2 linked regions of the Neodiprion lecontei genome follow. The protein of the gene in region 2 purifies or fractionates together with the protein of the main gene of each other region. This does not show direct contact. Links are inferred from orthologs where the notes say so. Each region holds a gene or a part of one and is shown on either strand. Other genes may lie near its edges.

The links. Proteins that work in one complex are often made in the same cells at the same time.
Region 1: the proteins of serine/threonine-protein phosphatase 2A 55 kDa regulatory subunit B beta isoform (region 2) and serine/threonine-protein phosphatase 2A catalytic subunit beta isoform purify together in Caenorhabditis elegans (affinity purification with western blotting; 3 studies listed by BioGRID, with this or other methods). This does not show direct contact. The link is inferred for Neodiprion lecontei from reciprocal best matches to the Caenorhabditis elegans genes sur-6 and let-92.

What each region holds. Positions count from the first base shown.
Region 1 is NC_060262.1:7,959,855-7,967,857, reverse strand, and holds serine/threonine-protein phosphatase 2A catalytic subunit beta isoform, read right to left. Parts: upstream 6,090-8,003; 5' UTR 5,922-6,089; coding exon 5,814-5,921; intron 2,770-5,813; coding exon 2,560-2,769; intron 2,052-2,559; coding exon 1,788-2,051; intron 1,691-1,787; coding exon 1,518-1,690; intron 785-1,517; coding exon 677-784; intron 379-676; coding exon 306-378; 3' UTR 265-305; downstream 1-264.
Region 2 is NC_060262.1:307,368-312,371, reverse strand, and holds the start of serine/threonine-protein phosphatase 2A 55 kDa regulatory subunit B beta isoform, read left to right. Parts: upstream 1-2,001; 5' UTR 2,002-2,059; coding exon 2,060-2,198; intron 2,199-2,615; exon of another isoform or gene 2,616-3,205; coding exon of another isoform or gene 3,206-3,305; intron 3,306-4,999; exon of another isoform or gene 5,000-5,004. UniProt on the Caenorhabditis elegans protein: Probable regulatory subunit of serine/threonine phosphatase let-92.

The DNA.
Region 1 (8,003 bases), about 7.7 Mb from region 2:
CTTTTTATTCATTCTTTTTTTTCTTTTCAGCTCGCATTTCGTAAGTGTGAGATACTTTGAAAAGACTGTAACATAGGTAATACGCGACATTATACATGGCATGTAAGGTTTGCTCCAAAAGCCCTACAGTCACACCGATCTTCCTATTATAAAGTTATGTTAGGGTTCTTGGCATATTTATAAAGCCAAATCCATTCTGTTCTCCTACCTTAACAACTACCTCCAGTTTGTCGTGAATTATTTCCTGCTCTATCTTTTCCATTCCTTTTTGTGTTTGGCTGTTTTTTTCTTTTTTTATAATTTCTTTAGAGGAAGTAGTCTGGCGTCCGCCTAGTAACGTGCGGCTCACCGCGTCTCGGTGCTGGATCAAACTGAAGGCTGTAACAAAGAAATTTATATTTTATTACATATTCTTTTTGCATTTCCAATATGTCAAGAGTTTACTCTCGAAGCTATCGACCCCAACTGCAAAATAAATTCTCCAGATTTTTCCATAACTTTCAATGAGAAAGTTTCTTTTTGTTATTGAAATGCTGGTAAACCTTGTATACAAGCCAATTCAATTTTTTTTAGAATCTTCTAACTAGTATGGCAATCGTAAAAAAAGTGATAATATTTTCATTCTAGAAATAAATTCTTTTACAGCAGTGTTACTTTACATAACTCTTATACTCACAATGAATATTTCAATGCATCATCCAGTTCCATAATCGCCGCTTGATTTCCGCAGCGATAGCAATAGTTGGGCGCCGAAAAAATAGTCACAACATTACGATCGTGACACCTGGAAGAAAAATTTTATAGATTATTAAATAATCACAAATTGGTTAGTAGAAATAACAAAAGTGATATTCAACAATCAGAGAAACATCTTATCAACTAAAGCAGGGTTCGTATATTTTTTGGAAATTGAAATCCCCTGACTTTTACAGGTATTCCAGCCTGAAAATCGAAATTTTCCAGCAACCTTCAAAAAATATGCCGCCGATTGCTGACAATTTTTTTTTACATTCAAACTAATACCTTCAATATTACCTAGTAACTATGTTTATCTAATAACTCTATCAATTTACACACAACAGCCGGCGAGTTTTCATAACAAGCAAACGAAAGATAGTTTGGTACTAAGTAAGGAGGTATGTACAATGTATAGTGATGCAAGAAAAAAAATTTTGAGTGCAACTTTCTTTTTCTTAAGTACGATACTACTTTGTATAACAACAAGTTCATTTCTTCGACAGACTCAAAATTCCAGTGATATTTTGAAAACTCCCTGACTTTTCCCTGCTGTAAGAAATTCCCCGAGTTTTTTCGGTTTTCCCTGTGCATACGAACCCTGGAAAAATATGTGATGTATATTCATACAGTTCAGTTATTATTTAAGAATGAATTTTTTTATTGAAAGTTTCCCAACCGATGAACTGCTCTCAATTTATTATTCCATGTATAATTTGTCGAATTGCTAATGTGGTTAATGTGGAGACAGAACTTATTGTTAGCTACAAAAGGAAACTCACCAATTATATCCTTCCATTACCAGCTGATGAGCTCGCGATACAAGAGTTAGACCATTAGAGTGATTGAACGTCTCAGAAATGTCTTGGCCAAAGGTGTATCCTGCTCCACGAGGCGAGATACCCCATCCTCCTCTGTCATCGGGGTCTGACCAGAGTAGATCGCACATTGGACCCTGGAAATCATGATTTTTTTTCCATTTTTTATTACCAGAATTTGATACTGTTGTTATTATAAAAAGGCTCCAAATGGAACAGTATATCAGTACAAACCTCATGCGGAACTTCTTGAAGACGATCCAATGCTCTGATGTGATCGAGAGTATCGATGGAAGGTGATAACCCTCCATGAAGACAGAATATCTGACCATCGACCAATGCGGTGAGTGGCAGATAGTCAAACAGATCGGTAAAGAATTTCCATACATTCGCATTTCCATACTTGCGCAGACACTCGTCATAAAATCCGTAAACCTGTGTAATCTGTCTAGACTCGTGATTACCACGCAAAATCGTTATTCTTTCTCGATACCTCACCTGTTAAATGGTTTACACAATCTTGGAATTATTACTTTGCTTTTTACCATAATCACAACACAATAACAATTATAATCACAAAGATTAATCGAACAGTTTTTAAACTTTGATGTTACCTTGATGTTACCAGATTTTCACTTCTTTAGTCTTAAGAAAGATTACTAGTGTATAAATCTCAAAAAAAAAAATCTGGTTACTTTTTAATATTGAAGTATCAAAATACTCTTTTCTGCATTTTTTACCAAGGCTTATTGCTAATTACAACTAAGCGCAAACAGAAAATATCTTCTCAAATAAATTGTTGAAGTGATTCGTTACTGTTTAACAATTTCACCTTAAATTCACACTGCTTGGATCAAAGTGCTCATCATGGAAATACTGAGTGTTGTTTGTTTTACTATGTTTTCTTTCTTTATCATATAGTTTTATGATCGAAACTGCACTCCACCATTCATTATTATGAATATATTTCTCAAACTCGTCTAATGAATGTCTGGTGATCTCGTACCTTGAGCGCAACAAGGAGAGTAACGGTCTCAACAGAATAATATCCACGATCGACGTAATCCCCCATGAAGAGATAATTTGTATCAGGTGATTTGCCACCTATTCGGAACAGCTCCATCAGGTCGTGAAACTGTCCGTGAACATCTCCGCATACCGTCACAGGACATTTTACCTCCTGAACATTCGACTCCTTGGCCAATATTTCTTTTGCCTGAAAATTAAAAAACAGACTCAAATTATTCTCCAATGTTTACATGCTTGCATAGTCATTATTATAAACACGCTTCATTATGTCATGACTCGAGTATGTTTTAATAATATAACGTAAACTCTGGATGATAGATTTTGAATTTGCAAGAGAAAAAAAAATATGTACAAAACTGCTCCAAGTTTGAAAATACAACAGGCAAGTGGAAGTTTTCAATTTTCCCCCTTATTATGTGGAGTCTATCAATGTTCACTTCGAATAGTACATATAAAATTTCTGACTGATTTTTTTTCTAGAGTTTAAAAACAAATACTCCTGCGATAATAAAAAACTGCAGGCATTGTAGAAATACTGCAACTATGGCCAAGTTGACATTATTACAAGATGCCGATCTATCACTAGCTGATCATTAACATAAAAATGTTTTAAATTCCAAAGTTCCAACAAGTTTGTTTTTGTAGCTTACGCTTATGCTTACAGTGCTGCTATAAAAAGCATAAACAGTATAGAACAACTTGCGAAGCAGCTCACATTACCGATCGAGTTTAATAATCTTCAGCCAAATAAACCCTCAAACAAGTAAGGTTTGATGTGAAACTATACTTTCAAAATTCGAAACATATTTCTACACAATATTTGGTGGAATTATTAAAAAGGTCAACAATTATTAATTGCAAAAAGTGGGAAATCACACAGTTTTACCCATGTCGTAGTTTTCTTTTAATGAAAAATTCAAATTTTATCTAACAAAGAGAGGCGTTTTTATGACCAACCAAAGCTCAGGAACTTATCATTTTACTGTTTTAACGAACTGTTGTTTGGTTATGTTTATACAACAATCATCGTCACGAAAATGTAATATCTTTAGAAACTAATATCAACATGATTAGATCTGGATATTTTCTCTAATTCTCAAAGTTTATGACATATTATATACCAGTCCACTGAATTCCAAGTAAAACTTGTTTTGGATGATCGTAAAACATACGTTAAATCCGGTTCTGGAATTGAACCGAGTTATAACTAAAGAGTTGAGCGATGAGAAAAATTTCTTTCTGTCATAATAGTTGAGTCACTTCTTCAAATTATCTCAACACTGCATTCTGGACATTTGATAATCTGTTAAATACCTATCACTACAGAATTCGAAGTTATCAAAGTGGTTCAGCAAGGCCATACAACTTGTTTACTTATTTCGTGTTTGCAGGAAAAGATTCTTCATTTCACAAGATCAATTTTTAATGTACAAAGAATGATAAGGTGAAAGTTTGTAACGTTCAGGTCATGATCCATTTTCCTGGAAAAATCATCATGTCACAGCTTTAGATTTGTCTGAAATATAGTGAATTAAATAAATATTTTTAATAAAAAAAGTAGAGATATTTTTGAAACTTCTAGCAAGAACATTGAAATTTTATAAAACTTGTCGGAGCTAGCTGAAAAGTTCGCTGGCATGATAAAAAAATGTGAACAAATCTGAATTGACCTTCATTGGCATTAAATTCTTTTTAAATTTTAGGGTCATGATGTAATATTTTTCAGCATTAACTCTGTTGAATGCTGTTTGTTCTACGAACCTTAATACTATAAAATAGTTCTAATAAACCTTGAACTTGATTCGAAAAACATGTTACTTAATTATGAAACAAGGTATTCAATAAGATTTGTTTCTGAAAGTTCAAAGATTTTCCTGAAATTTATAAGGACTCTAGAATGAGGATTATTAATTACATAAGACCATTTTCAACAGGTAACGATTACAAATGATTTCTATCATTCTTGTCTAATAAGAATTCTTTGATTATTTAGACTTTCGAACTAATAATCTACTGTCCCTGAGTGTTTACGAGTACAAAATTAACTAATGACTATTAGGGTTGAAAAATATCGGAATTTTTCCGCAGTTAGACAATAAGAAACAGTGGAATATCTGAATGTTGTAACACAGTAAGTATCCCATGAATTTGGAAAAGGAATAATACAAATAATTCTTATTTTATTTGCTATAAAGTCTTTCGTCCTCAAGTACGTAATAATATTATTCAAAACGGCCCAATCGGTATTTAAATGATCACAGTGGAGCGTACTATGGATTTGACCTAAAATAATCGTATCCAAGGTATCAAATATCTTCTGAGCACAGCGTGGGTATTAAAACGTCAAAGTATTCGCATTTATTTTGACTGTTGTCAGCTGTGAGCAGAAGGGTTTCACAGATACCGACCTTTGAAAGATTGTGTAGAATAAAATATTAGTAACAGGCGTTGATGAAATTGTATTGCAGGAATGTTCTTCGTAGATCTGCTATTCCAGAGAAAATATTGCCCGACGTACGAAATACCGAATATGTAATCCTCTACTGCTAATCTACTAATGCTAAAAATAAGTTAAACTATTGGAAGCGTGAAACGAAGTTGAATTCATTACTATTTGTTTAAAATTTATCGCGACATCGCAGAATGACGTAGTTCGATGTGTTATTCGACAAACAAATGATAAAAAGTGTAATAAAAAATCGTCAGTACATAAAATATACATAGAGAAATAATAAAATCGTTTAAAACAAAATTACTCGTTATTACAGTGTGCGGAATATAACATGTGGTTTACAGGGAAAATGAGCAGCGAGTAAGAGGAAAAAATTCGCGGTGTGGAAGTTAATCCGATTCCGTGTAAAACAAACGGCGGCGTGGTTAATCGTTGGATAATTTTATCCGCCGTGTATTCGAGCTCGGCGAACGGGGGACGTTGGTCGTTAGCCGTAATTCAAGGTGAGTGACTATCAATTTTCGATGACATATCGGCCAATCGTATACGCCTAAGAAGACGTGGGACGATCGGTGATAGAAAGGATTTGGTGTGAAATGTTTGGAGAAGCGAGGGTTGTGTACCGAATAAAATGCTGGATAAGGTTTTTTAGCCGGGAGGCGATGTCGAGGCGCGATAGGCGTGGATAGAGATGCAGATTGTCGGCAGGGAGGAAAGAAGTTAGGAAAGTCAACGGGGAAATGAAGGAACTTGGGGTGAAAAATCTCCGGCCAGCTCACCTTTTCGCACAAAGTTTTAACTTGACTTTCTGTCAGTTGTTTGCACTCGTTCAACTGTTCGATCCATTGGTCAAGCTCTTTCAGAGACGTCACTGCCTTCTCCTCCATCGTTTGGATCTAAGCAATGTTCAATACCCGGTTGACACTTAGCACATGTAACGCAACGGGAAACTATCTTATCAATAAACTAAATCCATTCGATTTCGCTCCGGTATTATTTCAACACAAATATCTCAATCAACCACACACTCACAAAATGGCCGACAAATAGTGATGATCGGGTGACGTCACGTTTAAATTCTTCCGCTCGGCATCGCTCGCCGAGATTCGGTTTGGATCGACTAGGCTGTCTCGCTCTGGCCAATCGTAAAGCATTTTTATTTCGGCCCGCCAATCGGATTCAAAGTATACTCTTGTGGCGAAACTTTGCAGTAAGTGTCACGATCATTTCTTTTGCCCTTAATTATTGTAATTAAATCGAGGGAAGTACCGATATCCGTCAACTTATGATCAGAGTCTATGAAAATTAATGAAACTACTTTTCATTTTGGTCTGTCAGCTATTGGCGGAGCTTCAACTCTGCAACGGTTCGATGGGGTGTGTCGTTTAGATACTATTATGACTACCTGTCGCGGGAGAATTTGAAATCAATTTTGACACGATATGGAATTGGACTACGAAACTGCTTCCGCGAAAATATTTAACACGTTCTGTAATGAATTACAACTGAATTTCCATCTGGTAACCTGTGTATATGATTGTATATCATTTCCTAGAACATTATTTATCTGGTTATACACTTACCTGTAAACATGTGATGCCGGCTCGCGTCTGCATATGCTGATCGCAGTTGGTGCTGCCTCAATTGGTATTTTTACGTTTTTCGTAATTGAATTTAAATTTTAAGACAATTATGTTCGATAAAACGCCATCGTCACAATTGCTTGCCCGTAGTCATAATATGGTTACTTGATGTTACGATGAACTGTACAAGTTTCAAATAATGCTACGCTTGATCTTGCCTGGGTAGCGCAGTAGAAAATTTAAAAAAGTTTGATCATACTTACAGCTAAAAGATTCAGAAATTTGCATTATTTTTACATATGTATAAAACGGCTATATAAATGTTTTGACCATATAAATGTAATGTCTCATTTATTTAACATGAACAACTCTAAGAATTAAAAATTATACAGTCATATTCAATTGCAGAATTGGATATGTAGGATCGAGGATCTATGGAATGCCTACATTGCGGTTTATTTTTTTCATTATTTTTTCTTATAACTCTTCATCAGTTGATTCCGTTCATTCAGAAATCATTGGCAATCTTTGACTACTTCACGAGCAGTTAAAAAAAATCCGAATTGATGGCGGTTGTAATCAAAGTTGGATAGATAGTTCAACATAACATACGTTATTATAGAGAATAAAAATATCAGTTCCGAAGTTTCTACAAGCGATTATCCAATAAATTAAAAAATATTGAAACGTATTAAAACAGATTCATATTGATGTCTGCCAATTTGAAATTTAAAAAAAAACGTATTGCGTAATGAGGAAATCAATCTGAATCGACCTGTGCAAATGTTTGGAATCTTTCTTCATGGATTGACGAGGTTTGAAAAAAGAAAGCAACCAATAGAAAATTATAAAAGCACTAATCTTCGTAATCATCTTCATTTGAGGTAAATTTCAATTTGCATGTAAAATGGAATAGAAATGGATTGGCCTACCGAATTTGTATATCACATGACGAGTAAAATTAAAATTCCGTTACAATCCAATCTGAAAGAAATGGCAAGAAACCAAATTGATTGATGAATTTTCAAAATAATAGTAATCGGTTTTCTTGTAAAATTCTGATTGGTTAACGTCAAAACGAACCTGTACGTTTTATTGTTTTCTCGTGTGCTAGGTGGTTTTCTTTTTTCTGCAGTAATTATTTCGAATTAGTGGCAAGGCGATTAGTTACAGATATCGTAAAAAATTCTGAAAACCACAAATATCATGTCCGCCAGGTATTATAGAAGCAATACGTGGGTATATCAACCAGTTTACAGAGGCTGTAAATACCTATTCGATAAATAACCATAGAACTGTTATTCGAACGACCAAGTTGTAAATCTCATCATGCAGTAGTGAATATTTTCAAGAATTTTCGGCTGTAGATATATTGATTACCGCAAC
Region 2 (5,004 bases):
TACGCAGCGAACATTTTTTTTTTTTTTTTGAAATTCATTTATAAGACCTACGTTCTTTTTATTTATTCGTTTATTTTCATTTCCCGATATTTGCCCCACGTACGTTGCGCTTATGCCCTTTTAACGTTTTTGTGTACTACGGGAAAATTATTATCGGCAAATACGTATACACGTAGGTTATTTATACAATCTTTGAGATTGCGATTGCCTATGCACAGGCGAATCATGGACAAATTAGCCTATACGTAGGCAATTTGTACGATTCACGCGATCGCAGTTGCCTGCGCACAGGTGGCTTTCGCCTTCCCATTCTACGGTGTATGTAAGCGTGGGCGAAAAACTGTCGGTAATGTGGTAAATTATTGTACAATATTGACAAAATTTATACACGTTGTCGTTGATTTTTGTCACAGGCACGATATAAGCGGAGAATAGTGCCGACCGGAAAGGGGAAAATTCCTCCCACGGAGGGACGGAGAGATCCGATTGTTTCAAGACGCGTCACGCGGGCGTTGTCGGCCTTTGGGGGGCCCCGCCGCAGCGGCCCCCCAGCACAGGGCCGAATACGAATTGTCGGAGCGGAGCCTTGATCGGTAGATCGAAGACCGCACCGGTCACAGCGATACCGCCTTCGTCCAAACACAACATGAAGAACCCTTCGGGAATTATGAGACAGTCGAGCCTCACGAAGCTTGGCTCGATGATTAACACGGCTGTGAATAAAAGGAGTGGTAAGTAAGCCATCGTGCGTAATTTTTTCGATACCTTCTATTCGCTCTTTTTTTCTTTTCCTCCGTCGATAACGATTATACCGCGGTACGCAACGTCAACTTCGGTTGTCTACTGCTTAGGCGTTGTCACGAGATCATTTATTATTATCACTTGCGCTCTCGGTTACGCGTTTTATTACGTGAGGCGAGTACGATCCGTGATAATTAATACGTATACATAGATTAAATTTACCGGCAGATAATGCTTGGATAAGTATCGTCAATTCGGCGTGCGTAGTCGAATTATTGTTAGTTAAAATATGGGATGCCAGATCGGCATCATGTAACGTAAGTTGCCTACGAGCAGGCGAGGCACTGCGTCACGCATCAATTATACCTATGAAACGTAACCGCGAATACATAATACTTATAATTACATGCTCGTTTCGTTTGTCATATAACGCACGCGTGCGTGCGTGTGTTTTTTTTTTTTTTTTTTATGAACTTACGTTTGTGCGGATCAAAAGCTTAAGACTTTTCGAGTCGAGTTTTTGTGGATGCGCAACAGGGGTCCCCTAATTATGGGCAATTCAGGATACAAGTCCACTCTGTGAGCAGATCCGAGTTTCGCATCAGCCACGTGCTAAAAACTGAACAGCAGAGTTGCTCAGAGTCGATCTCATGGTGCGCATTCACGAAAACGCACGATATACGAATACGTCGGAGACCTTGTATGGATATCCTGTTAGCACGATTGCACCTAGTGACCACTGTGTGTTTACATTTTGTCCCGGTTTTAACACGTTTCAAATGAAATATCGAACGTATATAACGTATTGCGTGCACGAGCGCGTGCATATGTGTGTATGTACGCACGCATCTGTATAGATACTATAATTCAATCGTAGGTATAAAAAAAAATTAAAGATAATTTTCAAGTAGACCGCGAAGAGGCGGAAATACTTTGGAATATCGCGTAGCAAACTTTACTCGGTCCGCAATTTCTCCACTCGTCGGAGTAAATTCTTAGTGTCACTTACATCATGTAATCACACGTATAGTACATATTTCTCAGTTGGTATAAGAATGAAGATTGAGTCGCCCTCTCGAAAGCGAAAAATTGTTGTTATCGTCACTATTGTGTTGATATTGTCATGTTCAATTTGCCTGAAAGTTCAGGACTTATGTATACACATACGTTGTCTGTCCTGGCGGCGTGTATTACTGCTATTATCATGTATATGTATGTGTATAATATGTCGGAAACCATAGCCTTTGAGACTCTCGTAAGGTCAAATCGCGTGCGCTGACTCTGATCGCGGTTTCAGAACGTGTTCTCGGTGGTAAAGATGAACACTAGAGGCCGTTTAAGATCCGTTTCAGTAGATCATTCTAATTGTTGTGACAACGTAAGTGCGGGAGCTTCGTTCAACCGTGGACCACCAATTAAAAATCCAAAGATTTCACATGACACCGAGAGAAATTTTCGTGAGTAGTTGTAACTATTATAACAGTGTACGAATCAGGATGCTTGTCTTTTTTTTCTCTCCCTCCCTACTACTTTTACATTCTTAACACGAAGGCGTTCGATTTGGAAGGGTTTCAAATTTTTCTCATTAAATTTGTTCGAAAGTTTATAAATTATCGTGTTCGACGACACCTTATCGGTATAACATAAATGATCTCCTATGTGATTTCGTATTTCGTTTTCTAACTACTCGTCTATACGCCAACTGGGAATAGCTTGGTTCGAGGCATAGGTAGGTAGGTATACATATAAGGTAAATAAATAACATGGAACATGGTTCGACGCTAAGTCGCGCCAAGTCTTGTTGTTAGAGCTTTGATAATTAGCTGATATTTGCTAATTTCTTCGGTAACGTAAGCGCCTCTACCGATCCGCAACTCGAGACAGATCGTGCCTGGGTTACCAGTCGGTCCCTGGACCAGATCCATAATTTCACGAACATCAGTCGAAAACTGCCCGTAAAAGAAAAATCATATACCGTAAATTATAAACTAGAAACTTGTCGAATGAATATAGAAGAAATTTAATAATGATATTAATAATTGTTATTTGACGTGGGTGGTAACGATCTCAACTAGTGATATATTATATGTAGTACATAGACAAATGTAGGAGGTAAAAGTGTTCGAAACGCATTCGTATTTTTATTGTACTCGAACAGTTTCGACGAATGGAATTGTCATCCCCTTGAAAATTGGTTATATTTATACACGCAGGACAATACACGATAAATAAGATATTTATGTGTTGTATATGATGCATCTGCCAATGTTCGTAGCACGTGTTAAAAGACAATTTTTCATAAAAGTGCTAAATTATCACAATGTAAAGTGAAAGTTTTTCACATTCAAAAAAGTTCTGCTGACGCGTGAAAAACTTGTAAACAAATTAGAAAAGAGAAAATTGGTTTTCTTGGAATAATTCAGCGATAATAAACGTATCATACTGTTATTCACACATAAAAGTCATGGAAAGTTTTCCGCACGGTCTGAAAGCTCCGCTAACAAGAAATGGTCCGTTATTTTCATCCCTGGAGGAGTTACACGAAAAATTGACACAGTTGTTAGGTTTGTCACTTATATACCTACAGTTTTCTTCGTATAACTGATTCATCAACTGCTTCTTTTGCATCATTACTATAGTTATTATTATTGTGTATTCAGAAATGTTGCGTGACAAAACGATCGGTGAGAATACAGGAATATAAATCAAAGATGTCAGGTCTAAGAATTATTTTATTTCTGGTAAATATTAGCATTGTACAGTTAGCTGTGAGCAGTGCAGTCGAAACAAGGAAATTATGACCTGTAATTAATGGTTTATAAGGTTCGTCTATAACGAATCGAGTTCCATTTTACTGAACAACATGTTATCATAATTTAAGGTTGTTCGGACATTAGAGCAATGTAACGATAAAAAACTGAATTAATATGTTATTAATTGGTAGTAAATACTTATAAAATAATTTTCTGAAAAAGATCTGACGTGTAGTTTTTGTGTAATTAATTATTAAAAATTAGATATTTACCATGAAGTTAATATGGAATCTTGTTTAAAATGCACATTATTGATACAATTTGACCACAACTGCTAAATATAACAATACAATAAATTGTAATTTATATTAATCTCCTCTCGTTGATTGCGCAAAAAATATACAAAACGTATACTGGCGTGGATTTTGGTAAATATTTTAATCTAAATAATCGAAAATTCACGACAATATCAGTCATACTTGAATGACATATCTGAATCGTAAAACTGTGGTAACGTTGGATAAAAAAACGTGCCAATTTTTAAATTCAATCATTCAATCATGTGTTTTGTACCATTTTATAAATTTTTACCATTACAAATCGTCCGTTGCGTCGAAATTAAGTTGTTTCATTATTCATTCACACTAGCAACAATAATGTATAGCAGTTAGATGCACTGTTGCCGGATTTATTTTATACGGAAAAATATCGAGTCAAAAGACATTTATTTAACATGTATATTTAAGTTATTAACTTACATGTTCCAATTTTTTATTTAATAGAAAAAAAATCTACATTTTATTATGACTTACGAGATACTGTCCCAACAACCTTAAATTATAGCTTTCGAACCATTCGTTTGATAATATTGTTAGTTTCGTCAGGTCGGACAGGTTGCATTCATGGCGAAGTTGACGGAAGAATTTCAAAACTTTTACCCCTGGAAGCATCTTTTTATCTATTAAACTACTTTCTTGGTAAAAACTACAGAGTTTTTTGGATCCACATCGTCCCTGAAATATTTTTAGGTCTAATAAAGATATAAAATTCATTTATTTATGCATTGGAGAAATCGAAGGTGTAAGGAAGCGAATGAAATTTGTATTTTTTTCACGAAAAACAGCATTTTTTGCTAATCCATCATGAGAATTCGATTGCCAATTTTAGTCCAAACTTAATATACGTAAAGAAAAAAATGTCGTATGTTTGCCCGCCACCTTAGATCTGGCATATTGAATTTTCGAATTTCAAGTTCATATTCGTAATCAGCGACCCCAAAAGCACATGTGTGCAAAATTTCGAGTGAATCGAATGTAAGGAAAAATGTAGGCATGAAAGGGTTAACAGTCTTCGGTAAACGGTGGCGATAACGCGCATTCGGTTCGAAAAGCGCGGGCTGACGGAACCTCGTGAAAGTTCGTGAAAGTTCGCGTGAAAAAAGTGAGGATGAGAAGATGGCGCGAGTGGTCGAAGAACACTGTGGTTTGGCCCGTGGCAGCAACAGCAACAG